Astyanax mexicanus: one gene and its partner. The protein of the gene in region 2 purifies or fractionates together with the protein of the main gene of each other region. This does not show direct contact. Links are inferred from orthologs where the notes say so. Each region holds a gene or a part of one and is shown on either strand. Other genes may lie near its edges. The genes, in order: cdk14 and ccny.

Region 1 (11,464 bases), on a different chromosome or scaffold from region 2:
AGAACACACACACACACACACACACACACAGTGCGCACAGTCAGCAGTGTGTGTGTGTGTGTGAGAGAGCTGAGGTTAGGGCTACAGTACATGAATTAAATATGAACCACAATTCTATTACTGACTCCAGCAGTGTGATATTAAACACTCGTATCTTTTATTCACTGCATTTCTATTGTTCTGTTGTTTATTATTTTATTATTCAAAGATCAAAGGCAGTGAGTGCAGCCTGTCCTCATGGTTTACAGATCAGTTCTGCTCATGCTTTTCTACAGACCTTTATTCTGACCATGCTGATCTGATCCGACCTGCCTTCATTTACACAACAGGTCCACTCATACTATCTCAATATATATACAATCTCAATAAATATACACAATCTCATTTTATACAATCTCAATATATTCACACAATCTCAATATATACACACAATCTCAATATATACACACAATCTCAATATATACAATCTCAATATATATACACAATCTCAATATATATACACAATCTCAATATATATACAATCTCAATATATATACAATCTCAATATATATACACAATCTCAATATATATACAATCTCAATATATATACAATCTCTATATATATACAATCTCAATATATATACAATCTCAATATATACAATCTCAATATATATACAATCTCTATATATATACAATCTCAATATATACACACAATCTCAATATATACACACAATCTCAATATATATACACAATCTCAATATATATACACAATCTCAATATATATACAATCTCAATATATATATACAATCTCAATATATATACACAATCTCAATATATATACAATCTCAATATATATACAATCTCTATATATATACAATCTCAATATATACAATCTCAATATATACAATCTCAATATATATACAATCTCAATATATATACAATCTCAATATATACAATCTCAATATATACACAATCTCAATATATACACACAATCTCAATACATACAATCTCAATATATACACACAATCTCAATATATACACACAATCTCAATATATACAATTTCTATATATACAATTTCTATATATACAATCTCAATATATATACAATCTCAATATATATACACAATCTCAATATATATACAATCTCAATATATATACACAATCTCAATATATACAATCTCAATATATATACACAATCTCAATATATACAATCTCAATATATACACAATCTCAATATATATACACAATCTCAATATATATACAATCTCAATATATATACAATCTCAATATATACACACAATCTCAATATATACAATCTCAATATATATACACAATCTCAATATATATACAATCTCAATATATACAATCTCAATATATATACACAATCTCAATATATATACAATCTCAATATACATACACAATCTCAATATATATACAATCTCAATATATATACACAATCTCAATATATATACAATCTCAACATATACAATCTCAATATATATACAATCTCAATATATATACAATCTCAATATATATACAATCTCAATATATACAATCTCAATATATATACAATCTCAATATATAAACACAATCTCAATATATACAGTCTCAATATATAAACACAATCTCAATATATATACACAATCTCAATATATATACAATCTCAATATATATACACAATCTCAATATATATACACAATCTCAATATATATACAATCTCAATATATATACAATCTCAATATATATACAATCTCAATATATACAATCTCAATATATATACAATCTCAATATATACAATCTCAATATATATACAATCTCAATATATATACAATCTCAATATACACACACAATCTCAATATATACAATCTCTATATATACAATCTCAATATATGCACACAATCTCAATATATACAATCTCAATATATATACAATATAAATAAAATCCATTAACGATTCTGATGTGCCTGCTGGTACTAGTGAACCTGGAGATTCAATTTCACTAACTGCATTCAGCTCTACAGCAGCTCTACATCAGCTCTACTCTAGCTTTACAGTAGATATTCTGTAGCTCTACAGCAGCTGTACTCCACACCTACAGCGCCTGTCAGCTTAATTACAGCTCTCCTGTATCTCTATAGCAGATCTTCTGTAGCCCTACATCAGCTCTACGACCGCTCTACTTCAGCTCTACTGTAACTTTACATCAGCTCTACATCAGCTTTACTACAGCTCTACTGTAGCAGTTCTCCAGCTCTATAGCAGCTCTACTGTAGTGTTACTCCAGATTTATATCAGCTCTACATCAGCTCTATTGTAGCTCTACATCAGCTTTAATATAGCTCTACTCCAGATCTACATCAGTTCTACTGTAGCTCTACAGCAGCTCTGTTTCAGCTCAACTGTACTGTTACTCCAGATTTATATCAGCTCCACATCAGCTCTATTGTAGCTCTACATCAGCTTTAATATAGCTCTACTCCAGATCTTCATCAGTTCTACTGTAGCTCTACAGCAGCTCTGTTTCAGCTCTACTGTAGCTCTACTCCAGCTCTATGCTAGTTCTTCCTCTGCTGTAGCTCTACAGCAGCTGTGCTCCAGCTTTCCAGCAGCTCAATGGCAGACCTACTGTGACTCTACAGCATTTCTTTGGCAGCTTTAAAGCAGCTCTACTCCATCTCTACAGTAGCTCTACATCAGCTTTAAAGCAGCTCTACATCAGACTTAAAGCAGCGCTACATCAGCTTTAAATCAGCTCTACATTAGCTCTACATCAACTCTATGACAGCTCTACATCAGCTCTTTTAAGGCTCTTCAGATGTTCAGCAGCTCTACAGTGGCCTCGCTACAGCTCGCTACAGCAGTTCTACATTACTGCTATGGCAGCTCTACTGTAGTTCTACACCAGCTCTATTGCAGCTCTAATGAAGCACCGAAACTACTTCACTGCAGCTTTAAAGCAGCTCTTCAACTGCTCCGCAGTAACTCTACAGCAGCTCTCATGCTGTACACATCAGTATTAGGCTAAAACATTTACCAGATTATTATCCAACATCTGACCTCAGTAATGCTCTGGCTCTTGGTCAGAGGGGTTATTTGCATATTGCAGCCTTGTGTGTTATGTATGTCACAAGATCAATAACAGTAACGATTAAAGGGACGAGTACACCGCTCGCACTGTGCAGAGGACCGTCAGTCACTCCACCCGCCACCTCACCCGCCACCTCCACCCTCAGCCCACGCTCCCTCAAACCAGCCAGCGTTTCCACTTACCTCATCAAAACCACCGTCCTCCTTCTTCAGAGCTACAGAGGAAAAAGAGAAGAGAGATCATCAGTTCCTCATTACAGAACATCAGTTCCTCCTTCAAAACTCTGACCCATCACAACACTGACCCATCAGAACACTGACCCAACAGAACACTGACCCAACAGAACACTGACCCATCAGAACACTGACCCAACAGAACACTGACCCAACAGAACACTGACCCATCAAAACACTGACCCACCAAAACACTGACCCATCAGAACACTGACCCATCAGAACACTGACCCAACAGAACACTGACCCATCAGAACACTGACCCATCAAAACACTGACCCAACAGAACACTGACCCATTAAAACACTGACCCATCAGAACACTGACCCATCAGAACACTGACCCATCAGAACACTGACCCAACAGAACACTGACCCATTAAAACACTGACACATCAAAACACTGACCCACCAAAACACTGACCCAGAAGAAAACTGACCCATTAAAACACTGACCCAACAGAACACTGACCCATCAGAACACTGACCCATCAGAACACTGACCCATCAGAACACTAACCCAACACAACACTGACCCAACAGAAAATTGACCCAACAGAAAACTGACCCATCAGAAAACTGACCCATCAGAACACTGACCCTTCAGAACACTGACCCAACAGAACATTGACACACAGAACACTGACCCAACAAAACACTGACCCATTAAAACACTGACCCAACAAAACACTGACCCAACAGAACACTGACCCACCAAAACACTGACCCATCAGAACACTGACCCATCAGAACACTGACCCATCAGAACATCTGATCCACTCACTGTACCAGCTCAACACTCACTAACACCTCATACGCCACCACCATGCTAATCACTGCTGTATCTGATCCACTCACTGTACCACCAGCTCAACACACACTAACACCTCATACACCACCACCATGCTAATCACTGCTGTATCTGATCCACTCACTGTACCACCAGCTCAACACACACTAACACCTCATACACCACCACCATGCTAATCACTGCTGTATCTGATCCACTCACTGTACCACCAGCTCAACACACACTAACACCTCATACACCACCACCATGCTAATAACTGCTGTATCTGATCCACTCACTGTACCACCAGCTCAACACACACTAACACCTCATACACCACCACCATGCTAATCAGTGCTAATCACTGCTGTATCTGATCCACTCACTGTACCAGGTCAACACTCACTAACACCTCATACACCACCACCATGCTAATCAGTGCTAATCACTGCTGTATCTGATCCACTCACTGTACCACCAGCTCAACACTCACTAACACATCATACACCACCACCATGCTAATCACTGCTAATCACTGCAGTGCTGAGAATAACCACACACCACCCAAATAATGTGTATAGTGTATAGTGTTTATATAGTGTGTAGTGTATATAGTGTGTGTGTGTTTATAGTGTGCAGTGTGTGTATAGTGTGTGTGTGCATTGTGTATAGTGTGTGTGTAGTGTATCATGTGTGTGTGTATAGTGTGTGTGTGTGTGTAGTGTGTGTGTGTAGTGTGTAGTGTATAGTGTGAGTGTGTATTGTGTATAGTGTTTATATAGTGTGTAGTGTATGTAGTGTGTGTGTGTGTGTGTGTATAGTGTGTAATGTATAGTGTGTAGTGCTTGTATAGTGTGTGTGAGTATAGTGTGTAGTGTATAGTGTGTAGTGTGTGTGTATAGCGTGTGTGTGTATTGTGTATAGTGTGTGTGTACTCACCGATGCGGCTGAAGCTGTCTGATAAAGTTCTCCGGAGCTTCTTCATCCTGCCGAGTTTCTCCGCGCGCTCACCGGAACCGGCGATGAAGTCACACATATCTCACGCTCATCCAGCGCGCGTGTGCGCGTGTGTTGTTTTAAAAACTGCTCGAGCTCCTCCGCGCGCGCGTGCGTGTGTCAAATCCAGATCCAGATGATGTGACCACCGCTGGACTCATCACTGCCCTCCCCCCCCCCACTACACACACACACTAATACACACACAGTAATACACACACACTAACCCCAACACACACACACACACAACACACACTGATGCACCAACACACACTGATACACACACACTCAGACAGACACTGAGAGAGAGATAAAGACTAAACCTCTCTCTCTCTATGTCTCTCTGCTGCGCTCTGATTGGCTACACAGGAGCACAGGAAACGTATTGTGGATAAGCTCCGCCCACACACTCTCAGCAGACACAAGAGAGAGTGAAAGAGAGAGGATGAGAGACTAAGTGTGTGTAGTGCATGTAGTTTGTCTGCAGTGTGTAGTGCACATGTAGTGTGTAGGTTGTGTAGTGCGTGCACAGTGTGTGTAGTGAATGTGCATTGTGCAGTGTATGTGCAGTATGTGCAGTGTGTGCAGGGTGTGTAGCGAGTGTGTGTGTAGTGTGTGTGTAGTGTGCGTGCACAGTGTGTGTAGTGAGTGTGTAGTGTGTGTGTGTGTGTGTGTGTAGTGTGTGTACTGTGTGCAGTGTGTGTGTAGTGTGTGTGTAGTGTGTGTGTAGTGTGTAGTGTGTGTGTAGTGTGTGTGTGGTGTGTAGTGTGTGTGTGTAGTGTGTGTGTGTGTGTGTGTGTACTGTGTGTGTAGTGTGTGTAGTGTGTAGGGTGTGTCAGTGCAGAGGGTGCAGCTGTTGCTGAATGTTTCCAGTTTTGCAGATGTTTAAACCGCAGCAGCTGAAATGAGCTGTAGTGAAAAACGGTACACCCGAATATTCACACACACACTCTAGTGAACGCTGACCTGCACACACACACACACACACACACACACACTACACACACACTACACACACACACACTACAAACACACACTACACACACCCACATTACACACACACTACACACCCTGCACACTCACTACACACACACACAAACACTACAAACACACACTACACACACACTACACACACACACACTACAAACACATACTACACACACCCACATTACACACTCACTACACACACTACACACAGACACACACAGCGGGTCTGGCCCCTGCCAATAGATTAGGACTCTCTGGATCAGATAATGAATAAACACGAGTCTGATGGATATATATTATTATGGGATGGTTTTAAATTATTATGGGATGGAGCTATATTATTATAGGATGTTTTTTATGGGATGGAGCTATATTATTATGGGATGGTTTTATGTAATAATAGGATGGTTTTAAATTATTATGGGATGGAGCTATATTATTATAGGATGTTTTTTTATTATGGGATGGTTTTATGTAATAATAGGATGGTTTTAAATTATTATGGGATGGAGCTATATTATTATCGGATGTTTTTTTATTATTGTTATTTTATTTTTATTATTGATGGTTTATATTATAGGATATATTTATTTTATGATAGGATGGATTTATATTATTATGGGATGGAGCTATATTATTATCGGATGTTTTTTTATTATGGGATGGTTTATATTATAGGATATATTTATTTTATGATAGGATGGATTTATATTATTATGGGATGGAGCTATATTATTATGGGATGGTTTTAAATTATTATGGGATGGAGCTATATTATTATCGGATGTTTTTTTTATTATGGGATGGTTTATATTATAGGATATATTTATTTTATGATAGGATGGATTTATATTATTATGGGATGGATTTTTTTATGGGATGGTTTTATGTCATGGGATAGATTTAAATTATTATGGGTTGGATTTATGTTATAAGATGGAGCTTGTTTTAGTATGAGATGGATTTATATTATGGGATGGGTTTATGTTATTATGGCATATATTTATCTTAATTATGGGATGGATTTATATAATGGAATGGTTTTATGTTATGGGATAGATTTATTTTAATTATGGGATGGATTTATATTATGGGATGGATTTATGTTATTATGGAATGGAGCTGGTTTTAGAATGGGATGGATTTATATTATTATGGGATGTGTTTATGTTATTATGGGATGGATTTATATTATTATGGTATAGATTTATATTATGGAATGGTTTTACGTTATTATGGGATGGAGCTGGTGTATGGTTTTATGTTATGATGGAATGGATTTATTGTATAATGGGAAGGAACTGGATTTAGTATGGGATGTGATTTTGTTATTATGGGATGGATTTATATTATTATGGTATAGATTTATATTATCGAATGGTTTTGTTATTATGGGATGGAGCTGAATTTGGTATGGGATAGTTTTATGTTATTATGGGATGGATTTATTGTATAATGGGATGGAGCTGGATTTAGTGTGGGATGGTTTTATGTTATTATGGGATGGATTTATTGTATAATGGGATGGAACTGGATTTAGTATGGGATGGTTTTATGTTATTATGGGATGGAGCTGGTGTTAGTATGGATAGCTGCTCCTGTGCTGGAGATGAAAGTGAAGGCCTGGAGGCGGAGCTGAATGCGGGTCAGGATGTGATTGGACTTCTACTCAGACTCAAACTCCAGTACTAATGTTCGGAGCAGGTCTGTGATGGGTGGAGCTCGGAGATGCTCCAGGGGAAGAAGGAGTCGAGATAACGAGGTAAAAGTAGAAGAACTTTATTAGGAATCGTTAAGAAGAGCACGGATACAGTGATTTAAAACAGCAGATCAAAAAAAAACGAATTACTAAATTTAACATTCAAAACCAACGACGTGTCAGAGAACCTTCAGAACCCAGAGCAGATAATAAACACTCCACTACCAGAGAATTTCCCATCATTCCGTTAATCAGGCTGGTGTATTGCGTCAGTGAGGATGGGGGGCGGAGTCAGGAGGAGCGCTGCGGCGAATCAGACAGATCTGTGATCAGATAGAGCTGAAGGAAGAGGAGGAGGAGGAGTTTGGATGCTCGTCTGCTGGAGAGGAGAACGTTCCTCAGCGTTCTCCCGCCGGTTCCCGGTTTACTCGTTCTCAAAACGACTGTACGGGTGATCAGAGTCCGGAATAAGACCTGGAACCAAAACACACCAGAGAAAAAACTGGATCAGGGGATGAGCAGAGGAAGAGCAAAGGAGGAGTTAAAGATGAGTTGAGGGAAAGCAGAGGAAGAGCTAAAGAGTAGTTGAGGAAGCGCTGAGGAAAAGCTAAGGATTAGTTGAAGACCTATGGAATAGTTAAAGATGAGTTGAGGGAAAGCAAAGGATGAGGTGAGGAGCAGAGGAAGAGCTAAGGATGAGTTGAGGGAAAGCAAAGGAGTAGTTGAGGAAGAGCTAAGCAGTATTTGAGGAAGAGTTAAGGAGTAGTAAAGGAAGAGCTAAAAAGTAAGTGAGGAAGAGCTGAGGGAAAGCCAAGGATTAGTTGAAGGGCTAAGGAAGTGTTAAAGATGAGTTTAGGAAAAGCAGAGGAAGAGCTAAAGATGAGTTTACAAAGAGAAGAGGACGAGCTAAGGATGAGTTGAGGAAAAGCAAAGGATATGTTAAAAAGCTAAGGAAGAGTTAAAGACGTGTTCAGGGAAAGAAAAGGAAGAGCTAAGGATGAGTTTACAAAGAGTAGAGGAAGAGCTAAGGATGAGTTGAGGGAAAGCTAAGGAGTAGTAAATGAAGAGCTAAAGAGTAGTAAATGAAGAGTTAAAGGGTAGTTGAGAAAGAGCTAAAAAGCAGAGGGAGAACTAAAGATGAGTTTACAAAGAGAAAAGGAAAAGCTAAGGATGAGTTGAGGAAAAGCAAAGGATATGTTAAAAAGCTAAAGAAGAGATAAAGGCGAGTTAAGGGAAAGCAAAGGAAGAGCTAAAGATGAGTCAAGAAAAGCTAAGGAAAAGCTAAGGAGGGAGAGCAGAGGGAGAGATAAGGATGAGTTTAGGAAGAGCTGTAGGATTCACACTATGTAAAGATGTCTGACCTTAGAAAAGGATTCAGTTTAACTGATCCGACTGATTGTATTGGTTTACTGTTCAGAATTAGTCTTAATAAACGATCTGTTTCAGCGACGTTTTACTAAAGTTCTGAACAAAATAAACCAAATAATCCTCTAAACAAACTCAAACACAACATTTTCTGCACAGAGAATACTAACGTAGAAAATGTAATATAATATTCACAAACAGTGACACCATATATAACGTAATACATGAAGGTTATTATCTCCTACATATGCTAAACTTAGCCAGGAATTATTGTGTATTATATTATTATAATAAAACAATTTCAACAATTTAACCTTAATCAGCAGTCAGAACCATGTTTTAGAATACACTGCCTACTTTCACTCCCACTGGGTTGTATTAGTTCAGCTCTGCTGCCCCCTGCTGGTGAGTGTGTGTAATTACACTGTTTAAAATAATCCACAGCATCTCAATCAGACTTTAACTAGACCCTCCAAAACCTTTGTTTACTTAATTAATCCATTCAGAGACAGTGAACTTGTTGTTTGTGTGCTTTGGGTCATTGTCCTGCTGCAGAACCCAAGTACTCTGGAGCTTGAGGGCAGTTCTTTAAGTGTTGTTCTGGGTTCTTTTGGGATCTCCTGGATGAGTTCTTCATGCCCTTTTTGAGTAATTTCGGTCGGCCGGTCACTCCTGGGAAGGTTCACCAGTGTTCCATGGTTTTTCTCCATTAGTGAATAATAGTGAATCACTGTGGTTCTCTGGAGTCTCAAAGCTTTAGAAATGATTTTATAATCTTTTCCAGACTGATACATGATCAATAACTTTGTTTTTTTTTCATCTTTTGTTGAGTTTCTTCAGATGGGGGTAATAATAATAATAATAATAATAATGTGAAATGTAAAATGATCTTTTATATGCTTCATGTTGTCAGACAGGTTCTATTATATAAGTGATTTATTGATTCTACAGGTCTGGAATCAGTGATCAGGTCTGGTTTTGGTTATTAGTGAAATTAAACTCAGGTTATATTTGTCAGATATTAAAGTTTGTTTGATAATCTGAAAAATGTAAGTATGATAAAAAGCCGGAGGTCAGGGTCTCTCTCTGAAGCTCATTAGCATTTCCTCCTGTCCCTCACAGGGGACAGTGAGGGTGTCTATTAATCACAGAGCTCAGTGCTCACAGTAATTAGCTCAGATGATTTATCATCCAGGACGCCCGGACGCCTGTCCTCTGACCTTTAACCCCGGGCAGTGAGGCATGGCGGTGGTGGGGGGGTGGGGTTATTAGTGATTATACGGTAGATGTTGGAGCTGCAGCAGATCAGCTAATATCACCGACTCTACACACACACACACACACACTTACTTGTTTAGTTTAGCTTTTGGTAATTAATGTTTTTTCCTTTAGATAAGGCTGCAGATCCAGGGGTTCATGGACAGAGGGAATTGTGGGTAAACTGAGATGCTGGTGCTGATGTTTGATCACTCAGGTTTGTGGAGGGTGGAGTGGTTGGATGCTGGTGTTTTCAGACGGTGCGTGCGGTAGGCAGTGCACACGGTAGGTGGTGCATGCGGTAGACGGTGTGTGGGGTAGACTATGATAGGTGGTGCATGAGGTAGATGGTGCGTGTGGTAGACTATGATAGGTGGTGCATGAGGTAGATGGTGCATGTGGTAGACTATGATAGGTGGTGCACGTGGTACACAGTGCGTGCGGTAGATGGTGCATGTGGTAGACTATGATAGGTGGTGTGTGCGGTAGAATGTGCGTGTGATAAGTGCATACCGAATACTGTTGTTTTCTGTTGTTTTTCTTGTCTGAAAACATGGTGCAGGGTGGGGCTTGCTGCAGAGTCATTATAGTTTGTAATTACAATTGAAGTCTTTACAGTTATTCACTAAAACACTAAAAGTGCTCTATTGACCATTTTCAATCTACGAGGATTACGGAATACGGAATACGCTGATGACATCATACAATTCGTTACTCACCATACTTTTTCCGGATCTCATCGTGTCTCGCCCTCCTCTCCGACTTCCTGCAGAACACACACACACACACACACACACACACAGTTACTGATCGCTAATCTATTACACGTGAAGATATGAATCTTTTAATACACTGACTGGAGTTCACATATACATTTATGTAAATTAAATATATAAATTACAGATATATAAAATAAATATACATGTAAATTAACAGTAACATGCAAGTATCAGAACAGCTGTTCATTCACTGTTTCTGAAATTAACTGTATTAAAAGAGTTTATCCTGATTTTGGCTCGTTTGCTTTCTATTGATGGGGTCTTGGGTTCAAGTCTCTATCTGGGTGGAGGC
Region 2 (12,060 bases):
CGCTGTTCTGCTAAGCAGCAACATCTATTGTGTATGAAAAGAGTGCAATAAATGCAGTGACCAAGGCATCAATAATGACGCTTTCCATTCACACAGAGCAGACTCGGGACAGGTAAAAACTAAGAACAACATGCATTTTTGAACATAACAGTACTTAAAAAATGTATGACAAATTTGGACAGGTAGTGTAAATGGTCAAAAACCATTTCCCAAACTAGTTTTATCTAAATTCATTAACCGCTCTTTAAAAGGCTATAACTGCATTGTTGTGACATTAGGGCTACAATTATTATTCAACATAATCAACAATGTCAGGAGACATGGAGACAGAAACACAACAGGGAAGGGGTATGGATTACTTACTTTATTAACACACATTTGATTAGGCTATTAAGCTTACACTTATATTCAACTTTCATCTGTTTCTATTTAATTAGATATGGTAACTTATGTTATGACAGAGACTGGACAACACGGTAGTGGTCTCAGGTGTGCAGACCTGAGCAGGTAAGGTAAAATGTGCATTAAAACAGGAGCCATGCTCACAGGAAGGGAAAAATTGTCAGTTTAGTCTGCTACCAAAATAATCATTAGCTGAAGCACTAAATGACATATCAATTGCAGAAAATAGTCATATAGTCAAGTTAATAGTACAATACAACCACCAACCCAGAATTTCTCCCTGTTGCAGATGTGCTTTAAAGGGCACTTAGGCTGAGCTAATATCATCTCAAACCACTTATCATCTACTTGATCAAGGGTTGTAACACCATGTACCACCGAACTCTGCCAACATGCCATATAAACTACTTATACTACATATAAACTGCTGCATCGATCACAGTTAATCTTGGGTCACAACCTCACACCCACCCACGCTTGATATTACCTCTTGTTGATGAAGCATGAAGCTTGCTGATTGTTTGGGACATGATAACTTAACCCTGCAAAGGCCACCTAGCATTGATTTAATCCATATGTACGTGTCATCTAGATTATTTAGTGCATTATATCTACCTGGTGTCTGTGTATATTATTTAATGTGCCTTGTAGGCTACTTCAACTCAACAAACCACTCATCATCCTTGATATTTCCCTGTTGCTACTTAAGCTGGGATCACCTCATACCACCCCTCTCTCCTGATGTAACACAGTCTGGGGTCACAACCCTACAACCCTTGTTATTTTCCTGTTGCTATTTCTAATGTCATGTCCTTGCTATATAGGGCATTCAAACTTTGCTCATCATGTCATAAGGCTAATTTAACTAAATTAATCTAAAGTCACAACCCTACAACCACCTACCCCTGATATAGGCCCTTTTGTTAATGTACTGTATTGTTGATAGCTCAAGGCTTAATAGCTAAACGATCACTTTAAATACACAGTACATATTAGAGTTTCGTAAAACTGAAAAAGAAAAATGACATTGCAATATATATGCTATTTAAAAATACAGGAATTTCACTAGATTTTGGTAGGTGTCAGTGATCCAACATGTCATAATAATATTGAAGTCTGTGTAATAATGACTGTATTAAAACAAATGATATTCGGTTGATATAATTGTAAATCTGGTAGATATTGTGATTTCTCTCTTTTTGTATTAAGCAGCAAGAAAGTTTTAAAAATATATATAATTTACCATTACACAAAACATTGCATGTCCTGTGATCTGACTAGTGCAATATATTGTATATATTGTGCAGCTCTAATACTTATGCTACACAGTATACGATAATAGTACCATAAGCCACACAACTCTTGACATGCCTTGTAAACAGAACAGTCAAGGATAACAAACTTAAATTCACCTACTTATCTTACCCTAATTACCATCAACAAATACATCACAACAAATTTATATACGTACAGTACAGAAACTGCAGTCATGGCACCACAAACCACCCCACTGCTGATATGCCATTTATGCGACACATTTTGGGGTCTTTTTCTGTTTCTTATGTGCCAGCTTAGCTGCTTGGGCCATGATAACTAGCGTACATACATATATTTATATAAAAATAATGGATTTTTCCCTTGAAAGGGCACCACAAACCATCCATCACTGCTAACATGCTTTCTACACTGCATGCAACAAAGTCTGGCATCACAACCCCAAGGCCACCCAACCAACCTTGATATTATTCCTGTTTATATTCTACTCAATATACAGAATACATTTCTAATAAAAATCCCATTGCTACTCAGGATTTTTGCACTAGGGTGTGGAACTCTGAACTATCCATCACTGATAATATCCTTTCTAAACTACATACAGCAAAGGCTGTGGTCACAAAAAGGCCCTCCAGCCTGGATAGTGTGCATGACATGATTATACAGCATCCAATTTTTGGCAGGACATGTTATCTACCATGCATTGGTACTTATATTTTTTCCCAGTCTCTAATGTGTCATCAATTCTACTTCCAACATCACAAACCATACAGACTGCTTATTGATTTACCCATTGCCCATTGATTGCTTCAGGCATGACAGCTATATTATAACTGTACTGCTGCACACACATCACATACAGTATATGGCTAAGCTACTGAACCTTTTATATGTATGTAATTATAAAATAAAAAATAAAATGCTATCTATTGCTATGTAGGCTACATCAAACTAAACATTGCTTATTGGTTTACCAATTACTCATTGACTGCCTACGGCATGACAGCTATATATACACACTATAACTACACTGTGCACAAAACTACGTAGTATTTAGCTAAGCTACTCAGGCTGGGAGCACAACACCACAAAGCCTGGTATGTTCCTTGTTGTTAATGTGTCAACTAGGCTGCTTGGGGCATGATAAGTGGCCAATAAATATTTATATAAAACAAAACAGTTCCTGGTCAGAAAAGGTCACACACTCTAATATTTGGTTGGACTGCCTTTAGCTTTAATTACGCCACCCAAAGACTGTGGCATCATTTCCAGAAGCTTATGTAATGTCAAAGTTTGTTTTAGTACATAGGCAGACACAGTACCAGTCAAAGTTTGGATACCACTAAATTTTGGTGGTTTAACATTATTTTTTTTTCCTACATTGTTGATTAATACTAAAGTCATCAAAGTTATAGAGAAAACCAAATTACATTAAAGAATCCAAAATAGGTTTTATATTTTAGATTCTTAAAAGTAGGCATGTCTTGTTGAATGACAGCTTTGGCCATATTGGCTGTATTTTCTCAGTCAGCTTTATGAGGTAGAGTCAACTTGGAATATGCCCTACTTCAGATTCTAAACCAGTTTCTCTGATTGTTCTATTTATAGGTATATGTGTAAATACATTTAACATTGTTGTTTTATTCCATAAACTACTAACAGCATTTTCCCCAAATTCCAAATAAAATATTGTAATTTAGAGCATTTATTTGCAGAAAATGAGAAATGCCTGAAATAACAACAAAGATGCAGAGCTTTCAGACCCCAAATAATGCAAAGAAAACAAGTTTATATTCCTAAAATTCCAATATTTGGTGGATTAACCCTGTTTTTTTTTTCACAGTTTTCACAGTGTTCTCCTCCACCAGTCTTACACACTGCTTTTGGATAACTTTTATTCCACTCCTGGTGCAAGAATTTAAGCAGTTCGGCTTGTGATCCATCTTCCTCTTTATTATATATTACAGAGGTTTTCAATTTGTTAAAAGTCAAAGAAACTCATCATTTTAACTGGTCTCTTATTTATTTTTATTTTTTTATTGCTGTACTGTTACTGAAGGGTTAGTCAGGCAGTGTAGGTTAAATACAATAGAATTTAGGATCACATCATTCATACCCATATCAATGTTAAGTAAGTTAGCTAGGTTAGCTATTTAATCACCCTGCATCCAGCACAGTTTTGGTAACTGTAGTGTAAGTAACTAATAAGCGAGGGCTCAGCCCACACAGGTCCTACCGTCGATGTTCTCCCGGTCGCTGATGTGCTGGAGGTTGCAGCCCGTGTCCTCGCGGCTGAGCTCGGGCTCCGGGCGGTAGGGCTCCAGCCTGGAGTGGGCATTTCTCCGGAGCTTCGGGCTGGAGGACACGCAGCAGGAGGTCGTGTTGCCCATGGTGTATTTGTGGGCACCTCACCACCTTGCTAACTGTATCTCTGGTGTGGCTGTAGCTGTAGCCACCCACCCGAGCGAGGAACGGATGAACGGAGATACAGAGGGAGGAACAGGCGGAGAAACACTATTACCAGCTAGGCTACCTACCTAACGTTACCCACCCCGGACCCCCTTCCTCCACACCCTCAGCAGCTACTTTCCCAAGGCTCAGTTCCGCGGAGCGCAGTGTTTATAACCATATTAGCGCTAAACCAGCTAAACAAAACAGATAAATAAATACAGGCTAAAACAGCCTCCACCCGCCCGCCGTCCGGAGCCGCACAGCCCGCAAACACAGCCAGCCTCGCCCGCCTCAACCCTCCCACAGCCGGCCTCCGCCAACACAGCGCTACACACGCACTATACACCGCGTTAATCACTATATGACCACATTTACGAACCTCACAGCGACATGGCAGCCTAGCTAACCAAACCTAAACCTAACCCAGCGCTACTGTCGCTACCGCCGCTACCGCTGCAGCTGCTGTCAACTACATAGCCGAGCCTCAATCCCTGCAACATACTAACTAACGCGGAAGAAAGGTTCCGCTACGAGAGGGCGGGGGACCGGTTTCAGAGGGGCTCCACAGGGCTAAGCAGGGCTAAACAGGGGTTTCCTGCTTTATAATTATTATTTTTTAGCGTTTATAATTGTATTAATTTGTTGGACATTTATTCAATTAAATGCAATAAAGATGTTTAAGAAAAAGCAGGACAACTAATCCATTATGTTAAGATTACTTTTAGCTTTTAGAAAAGAGCTCAACCTCATTTAAAATGTCTTATACACTAGGCTAAAGAGCAGCAAAGTGTTGATCATACACAGGCTAACCATATAGCTAGCTACCTAATTTATTTAATTAAAAAAATAAACACAATTAAATAAAACAACAGCATGAAGAGATTATCAAAATAAATGAAATACATTTTATAAATAAAATAAAAAAGGTAGTAAACAAATGTTTTTTTTTTATATTATTTTAAAACATACAGTACCAGTCAAAAGTTCTCATTAATATTTGTTATTTATCTATATTATTTACTACATTGTAGATTCGTTTTAAAGACTATGAAGGAAAGTATGAAGGACATATATGCAGTAACACTTTTACTGCTCTTCATTTACACTTATCCATGCTGCTATAGCATGCATAATAACACTCTGGATTTTATGTTGCTGCTACTTCTCTACTCTTCTTTTATATATTGTGTATTTAACTTGATATCTGTTTTATTGTTATTTGATTTTATTCTATTTGATTTTATCTTATATTTCTCATATTTTAACAATAACTTTTTTTAGGTGTAACTGGACCGTGAGAATACAATTTTGTTCCACTTCATGTACCCCATGTGAAGTGAATGACAATATAGTCTCCTTGAAAAGTTAGATAGCAGACAAAAAAGCGTATTACACAGGCCACAGTATGTAGCTATTTAATTTATTGAAAAATAATAATAATAAAAAAGCTAGATTACAGTTCCTGCAGAAACTGAGTGTGATTGCTGTGCCAGAACACAAATGAATAGGTAGGTCAGGGGAACAGATTGCAAAACAAATTTAGTGGAAATGCATGAATGCATTTTTAGCAACAACTGACATTCATGCATTTCCATGGAATCTATTTTGCAATCTGTTCCCCTATCCTACATATTTGTTTGTGCTTGTCAGTTGGGAGCATCTGGATTTCGGAATGCAGGGGGTGAACGAAGATGGGCTGTTTGATAAAAGTTTGTACTCTTTATAATTTTTCAATACCCCATGTCAATTTCACACCAGATTTCTCCTTTAAAATGTAGCTCAACATGTTTTACAATACAGAGTAAACAAATATACATAATAAACATGTCAAAAAATAAAACAATAGCAAGAAAATGGTATTTTAAATAAATAAAAGAAATATAAAATGAAAAAGTAATAAACAGATGTGTTTTAATATTATTTTACAACATACAGCAACAGTCACCAATTTGGACACATTCTCATTAATACTTTTCCTTTATTTGTTTTGTTTAATACATTGTAGATTAATATTAAAGATAAATAATAATATAATATTATATTATTGAGGACTATGAAGTTAAGGGAGTTAAGTAGTGAACTCAGTGCTTAGCACCTCTAGAACTCCTTTAAGACAGCTGAAGAATCATTCCAGGGCCTACCTCATGAAGACGACTGAGAGAATTAGCCAAGAGTGGGCAAAGCTGGCATCAAAGTAAAAGGTGCTACTTTAAAGAAGTATAGATCTTATTTTGGCTTGTTTAACACTTTTTTATTTACTTCATGTGTTCCTTCATAGTTTTGACTTCTTTACTTTTAATCTACAATGCAGAAGAAGACAAAGACAAAAGAAAAAAAAAACATTTACTAGTATTGTCTCTCCAAATATGTATCAACATACAAGACACATATACATGTTCCTAAAAATATTATTCTCATTTTTGTTGTAAGGTGTTACAGTTCATTACAATATTGTAAATCTTGTTTTATATTTAAATTACTGTATGTCATTTAGAGTGGGAATCTCACAGGGCATTGTGTGTGTGTGTGTGTCACTGTATGTTGATTTTCAAATGTTTACATAATTTGAAACTGAAAACTATCCTATACATTGTATCCTAATTGCATGATGAATGGACAAATAGAAATGCACAAAAATGGCTTTGACAAAGAACGTCTTCCACTATAAGAGGACTATGCTATCATGGCATGTCATGATGTATGATGAAGCATGATGGTGATAAATATCCTATCTACAAGTCCTACTTTGACAGCAGTCCTAATGAGTATCATGTCTCCTTTCATACTGTAGGTAGCAATGTAAGGAATTATGTCACTGTAATATCTACCCACAGCTGTAAAGCTGTACACCACCATCCCAGTGGCAGACTAGATCTAATGCTACACCAATAAGAGTACCTGGGCAAACCAAACTACCTCTGTAACATGAACCTTACATTTGAGTCACTATAGAAAAGAACATCAGCTAAATATCATTGGCTAACACTCCCCCTAGTGTTAGAATGTCTAAACATCATTCTTCACCAATAATCATCCTTAGGCAAGAGTCCTAATACATACAGACAAAAATCAAAGTGAAATGGTAGTCAGTAGTTTGTATGAGACAATGTGGGGGACCTCCTTCTAGATCACTGAGCTCCTGAACATTCTGAAGTGTAACCTGGCAGTGTCAGACTGACCGAAATATAACAGGATTCAAGTTTTAACCAATAATTTTCCATGATTTTTTCATGACTTTGTCCATGCCTTCAAGGCATTTTTTATGACCAGACAGTTTTTAAAACATCAGTGCAGACATGGACAATAAAACCAAAAATCAACTAAAACTATAATTAAAACTGATTATAATAGGTCTAAACCAAATCAGATAAAATGTTGACACACAATCCTTAACAATAAAATGTGTGTCAGATTCCTGCAAGCTCCATTGTGTGGAGCTAAATTACTGAATTAACTCTGAGCTGACATATTTGTTAGCTCAAGTTAGATTTTCTCCATTTATAAACTGAAACACAAAGATTTGTAGACCAAAACTCCATGACTTTTCCAAATCTTTTTAGGTATTTTTATTTTTACAAAACTTATTCAGGCCTGGGCACTGCTATTTTCAAAATCCATGACTTTTACAGGGTTTTCATGACCATACAAACCCTGTATAATGTCCTAGAGATCTACTGTTCTACTGAAACATATAAAAACGGTTAGTAAAAACGCTCTTAGAACATCTAGAAAACTTGACAAATTGAATGTTCTAAGACCGCTATTTATGTTTATGTTAGCTAGATAGTTTTTGCCTGGATGAGCAGCTTTTTAAACCATTTTGAAAAGGAAAGACCAGCTTAGATCTGAAACCAGATGCCTGAACTGGCCCAAGAAATTTACATAATCTTACATGAACACTTTATATTAAAAGCAAAAAATAAAATAAATATAATACAATATACTACAATACAATGTAAACATTGCATTTTCTAAATCACTTATGCTAGGAGATTTTTTTTTTTTATATATTGTTAAGGCAAGATTTCCCAAACTCTTCCCTAATGCTTTTCACATTTTTATGGTTTCTCTGCACTAGCTTGAACACCTCACTCAGCACACAGGGGGGCTGTTAATTAGTTGGTTCAGGTGTTGAAGACAAAGCAAAAAAAAAAAAGTGCATACTGGAAGTCCTGCACTGAGGGAATTAAGAGGGATTGTCTTTAACAGTAACATTTATATAGAGCTATTGTAGCTGAAATGGCTCTACACTCAGAGAGTATGACGCATTAAGTTCCCTGCAGCTGCTAATCGTCTCACAGTCTCATGCTGTGCAGAATAGCCAGGGGGTTCCTGATGATACAGCTGGCTGGAGGGATGCAGTGTGTTGTCTAATGAGCATCTGCATTATCATGAGGCATTATTAGCCCTTTAGTCCAAACGCTCGGAGGGTTCTCAGAGCTGCATGCCAGGTAATGTGAAAAGATGCTGCAGCAGTGTTCATGCACATAATTAGGAACAATTAGGAAGGTGTTTTTTCCCATTTTCTCCCAATTTAGCTAGACCAATTTTCCCATCCATTCAGCTTCTACTCAACTATATATCACTGGTGATGGCACAGCACAAGGAGGGTGAAGACTAGCCTCCTCCGACACATGTGAAGTCACCCACTACCTCTTTTTGAACTGCTGCTGATGTAGCATTTCCGAGTAGCATCAGAGCGCTAACGCTCGGAGCAAAGAGCAGCGACTCGGTTCTAATACATCAGCTCACAGGCGCCTTGTGCTGATCAACATCCCCCTAGGAGTGATGAGGGGAAAGAACGCCATCTACCCACCCAGAGAGAGCAAGGCCAACTGTGCTCTCTCGGGGCTCTGGCAGCTGATGGCAAGCTGCATGACTGGGATTCAAAGCAGCGATCTCCCAATCATGGTGGATCATTATTATTATTAAAGGTTGACAGAACAAACCCCTGTTAACCATTAATACTGACTTTTATATACGTGAAAGTCGCATGAATTGCACAGCAGACAAAGCTGTTTTAAAGAAATTAAATTAATACAATTTAATGGTAAAAATATGTATTATATGTCATACTTACAATAAGTAGCTAATCAATCTGGCTTATCAAACATAGTGAGCATATAAGCATTTTTTTAAAGATCTAGCATAATTTGCAGTCTAAATTAGGTTCAGTATGCATGTTAGGAACATCATGCGTATTAATTACTCAGAAATCTGTCACAGTTATTAAAGTTGATTTATCAGTATTGAAAACATCTAAAAATTTTAAACATCACTCAGCTCGATCCAACTAAGCAGGCACGGGGACAAATAGTGAGGTTAACTCTTTAAAAATATAAGAAAGATTCTTTGAAAGCAGCAAAGACTGAAAAAGAGAAAGTTTCAAAAAGCATGAATTGGAAACACTGAAAAGAACCCGTCCTCATCCTCTCCTGCCCAAAACTACATTACTAGAATAAAAGCAATCATGCATTCTGAATAAAGATACTGTGGAGACCACTACTGACCACTTAACTGCTTCTATTGTGCATTGTTTGTTCTTGTTGATGGTTCAAAGTTGTCTTTGTATATGTGCATATTGTCCTCTTTAGGGTTTAATGGCAGTGTGCTTATAGAAGTGTTCTTTAATCTAAGGGTTCTTCTGGAGGCCCACTGGCCATTATGGTATGGTAAGTATTTTCCCTACTCCCAGCAAGGGCAGGACAATCAATATTAATGTACTATATCACAATAGAAACAAGTTTAAAATGATGATTTTTTTTTTAAATGATTTTTTAATATTTTGATATACATCAATTACAGCATCTGTCACTGATTTCAGAGGATTTATGGTAGAGAAATCCTTTCAATAAAATATTGTCGCTTTCAACCATTTACATTGATATTAGACATTGATATGATACTGATATGATGATATATGTTTTGTACATTGCAGGTAGTGGTTCCTCCTACAATAGCATTCAAAAGTGTGGACACACCTGTGTTTCTTTCTTTTTTATGATTTGTTACATTGTAAATTTAATATTGTAACTATCAATACAGGAACACATGCAAAATTATTCTGTAAACAAACCAGAATATGTTTTACACTTTAGATTCTTCTAAGTAGCATATTTATCTCTGAGGACAGATCTGCACACTCTTAGTATTTTAATCTCAGTGTCTTCATGAGGAAGAGTCACCTGGAATAGTTTTCTCAGTGTCTTGAAGGAAGGCGTTCCTAGAGGTGATGTCAATAGTTGCTCAGTTTATCAGGTTTTAATGTCTTTAATATTATTCTGCAATGTGGACAATAAATTAATTGAATAAAGAAAGAAAAACATTGAATAAAAAGGTGTATCCAAATTTTTGACTGGTACTGTATATAATCCATTTTTCATACTATACAGAAACATTTTTGTTATCAGTATAGATCAGATCATCTTAACGCAAGTCTAAGTGGAAGAAATACTTTTTTTACAAGTATGAGAACCTGGGCAGTGGTCACAAATTTCTAATCCTACAGATTTTTAATAATCTTTCTCTCTTATTCTTCTTAATTTTTTTATTTATAACTTCTTAAGATTTCTGTTGCTCATTTCAATCTTTAACTGAATAAAGAAACAAAAACAGATTTTTAGTGACTGGGATAGATCCTTCTAGCCCAGTTATTCCTAGACATTCCTCTGCAGTCTAGATACGGTCTTCAACTCCTGACATCCCTCTCTCAGCTAAAATACCCTATCATGCTCCTTCAACAAGTGATTAAAAACTGTCACAAATGATTGACAGCTGGGTTTACCCTACTGCTTAACCCTGGAACTGAAATCCCAGCCAGTCAGTGAAGAGACAGCCTGTATTTATATAATCTGAGATAATCTGAGATTAGAGATTTCTGCATGTAAACAAAGCTTGAGCTTTTATTTCAGATTACGTACCAAGTGGTGATCCCATCACTCTAGCCAGAGTGCTACACATCTACTGCCAGTGCAGCACTGCACTCTAGTGGTGAAAAAGAAATGCTGCATTCTGGTGACAAAAAAAAAAAAAAAAAAAAATGATGACAGTACCTGTGCCAGGTCTGAATCATCTTCAGCAGTAGTTATTTTCGCCTCATTGAGCTCAGAAGCTTTAACAGCAAGAGCATAAAACGTTATTGTTCTCAGTTATTCACTGCTTCTCCAAGGCTTTAATACCAAATGGAGCAGTTGACATCCAACTGCTTCCTTTTCAAGGTAAAGTTTCCTATTTATACTTCATAATTTACCTGTGACAGGCAGAGGAGCAAAGATAAAGGACTTCATTGTCAGATGCTTGGGAATAATATGACAAAATGCACAGTATATACAGACATGCAAATCATTTTTTGTTAACATTTTACAATAAGGGTACCTAATTAACAGTACTAATATATAAATTTATATAAATATAAATATTGATCATTTTAAATTATGTCTTAAGTAATTATTAATTGACATTATTATAAAATTGATCTACATTTAATGCTCAACAATGTATACACATATACACCACCCAGATGATAACCCAGAAGTGGACCAGATGTGGTTATTGGAACATGTATTGGATTGTATATTTTATATGCCATTGATTTACAGTAACAGTCACAAGTTTGGACACACCTTTTCATTCAATGTTTGTCTTTATTTCTTTATTTAATTGATTTTCTACATGATATATTAATATTAAAGAAATTATAGCAATTACGGGATACATTAAGGGAATTATGCAGTAAAAAAAAAAACTTTTAGTTTCTTTATTTTTATGATTTATTACATTGTTTGTTTAATATTGAAGACAATATTAAAGCTAAGCAGAAACACATGCATATTTACTTAGTAACAAAAAAGTGTAAAGTAAACCAGAATATGTTTTATATTTTAGATTCTTCTAAATAAGTATCACATTTATTTTTGAGGACAGATCTGCACA

What was found.
Region 1: the proteins of ccny (region 2) and cdk14 purify together in Homo sapiens (affinity purification with western blotting; 3 studies listed by BioGRID and IntAct, with this or other methods). This does not show direct contact. The link is inferred for Astyanax mexicanus from reciprocal best matches to the Homo sapiens genes CCNY and CDK14.

The regions. Positions count from the first base shown.
Region 1 is NC_064408.1:131,370,204-131,381,667, forward strand, and holds the start of cdk14 (cyclin-dependent kinase 14), read right to left. Parts: upstream 5,241-11,464; 5' UTR 5,126-5,240; coding exon 5,029-5,125; intron 3,282-5,028; coding exon 3,250-3,281; intron 1-3,249. Other genes in the region: pituitary tumor-transforming gene 1 protein-interacting protein, read right to left, coding at 8,196-8,245, 11,113-11,159. UniProt on the Homo sapiens protein: Serine/threonine-protein kinase involved in the control of the eukaryotic cell cycle, whose activity is controlled by an associated cyclin.
Region 2 is NC_064413.1:47,904,198-47,916,257, forward strand, and holds the start of ccny (cyclin-Y), read right to left. Parts: upstream 4,628-12,060; 5' UTR 4,068-4,627; coding exon 3,914-4,067; intron 1-3,913. UniProt on the Homo sapiens protein: Positive regulatory subunit of the cyclin-dependent kinases CDK14/PFTK1 and CDK16.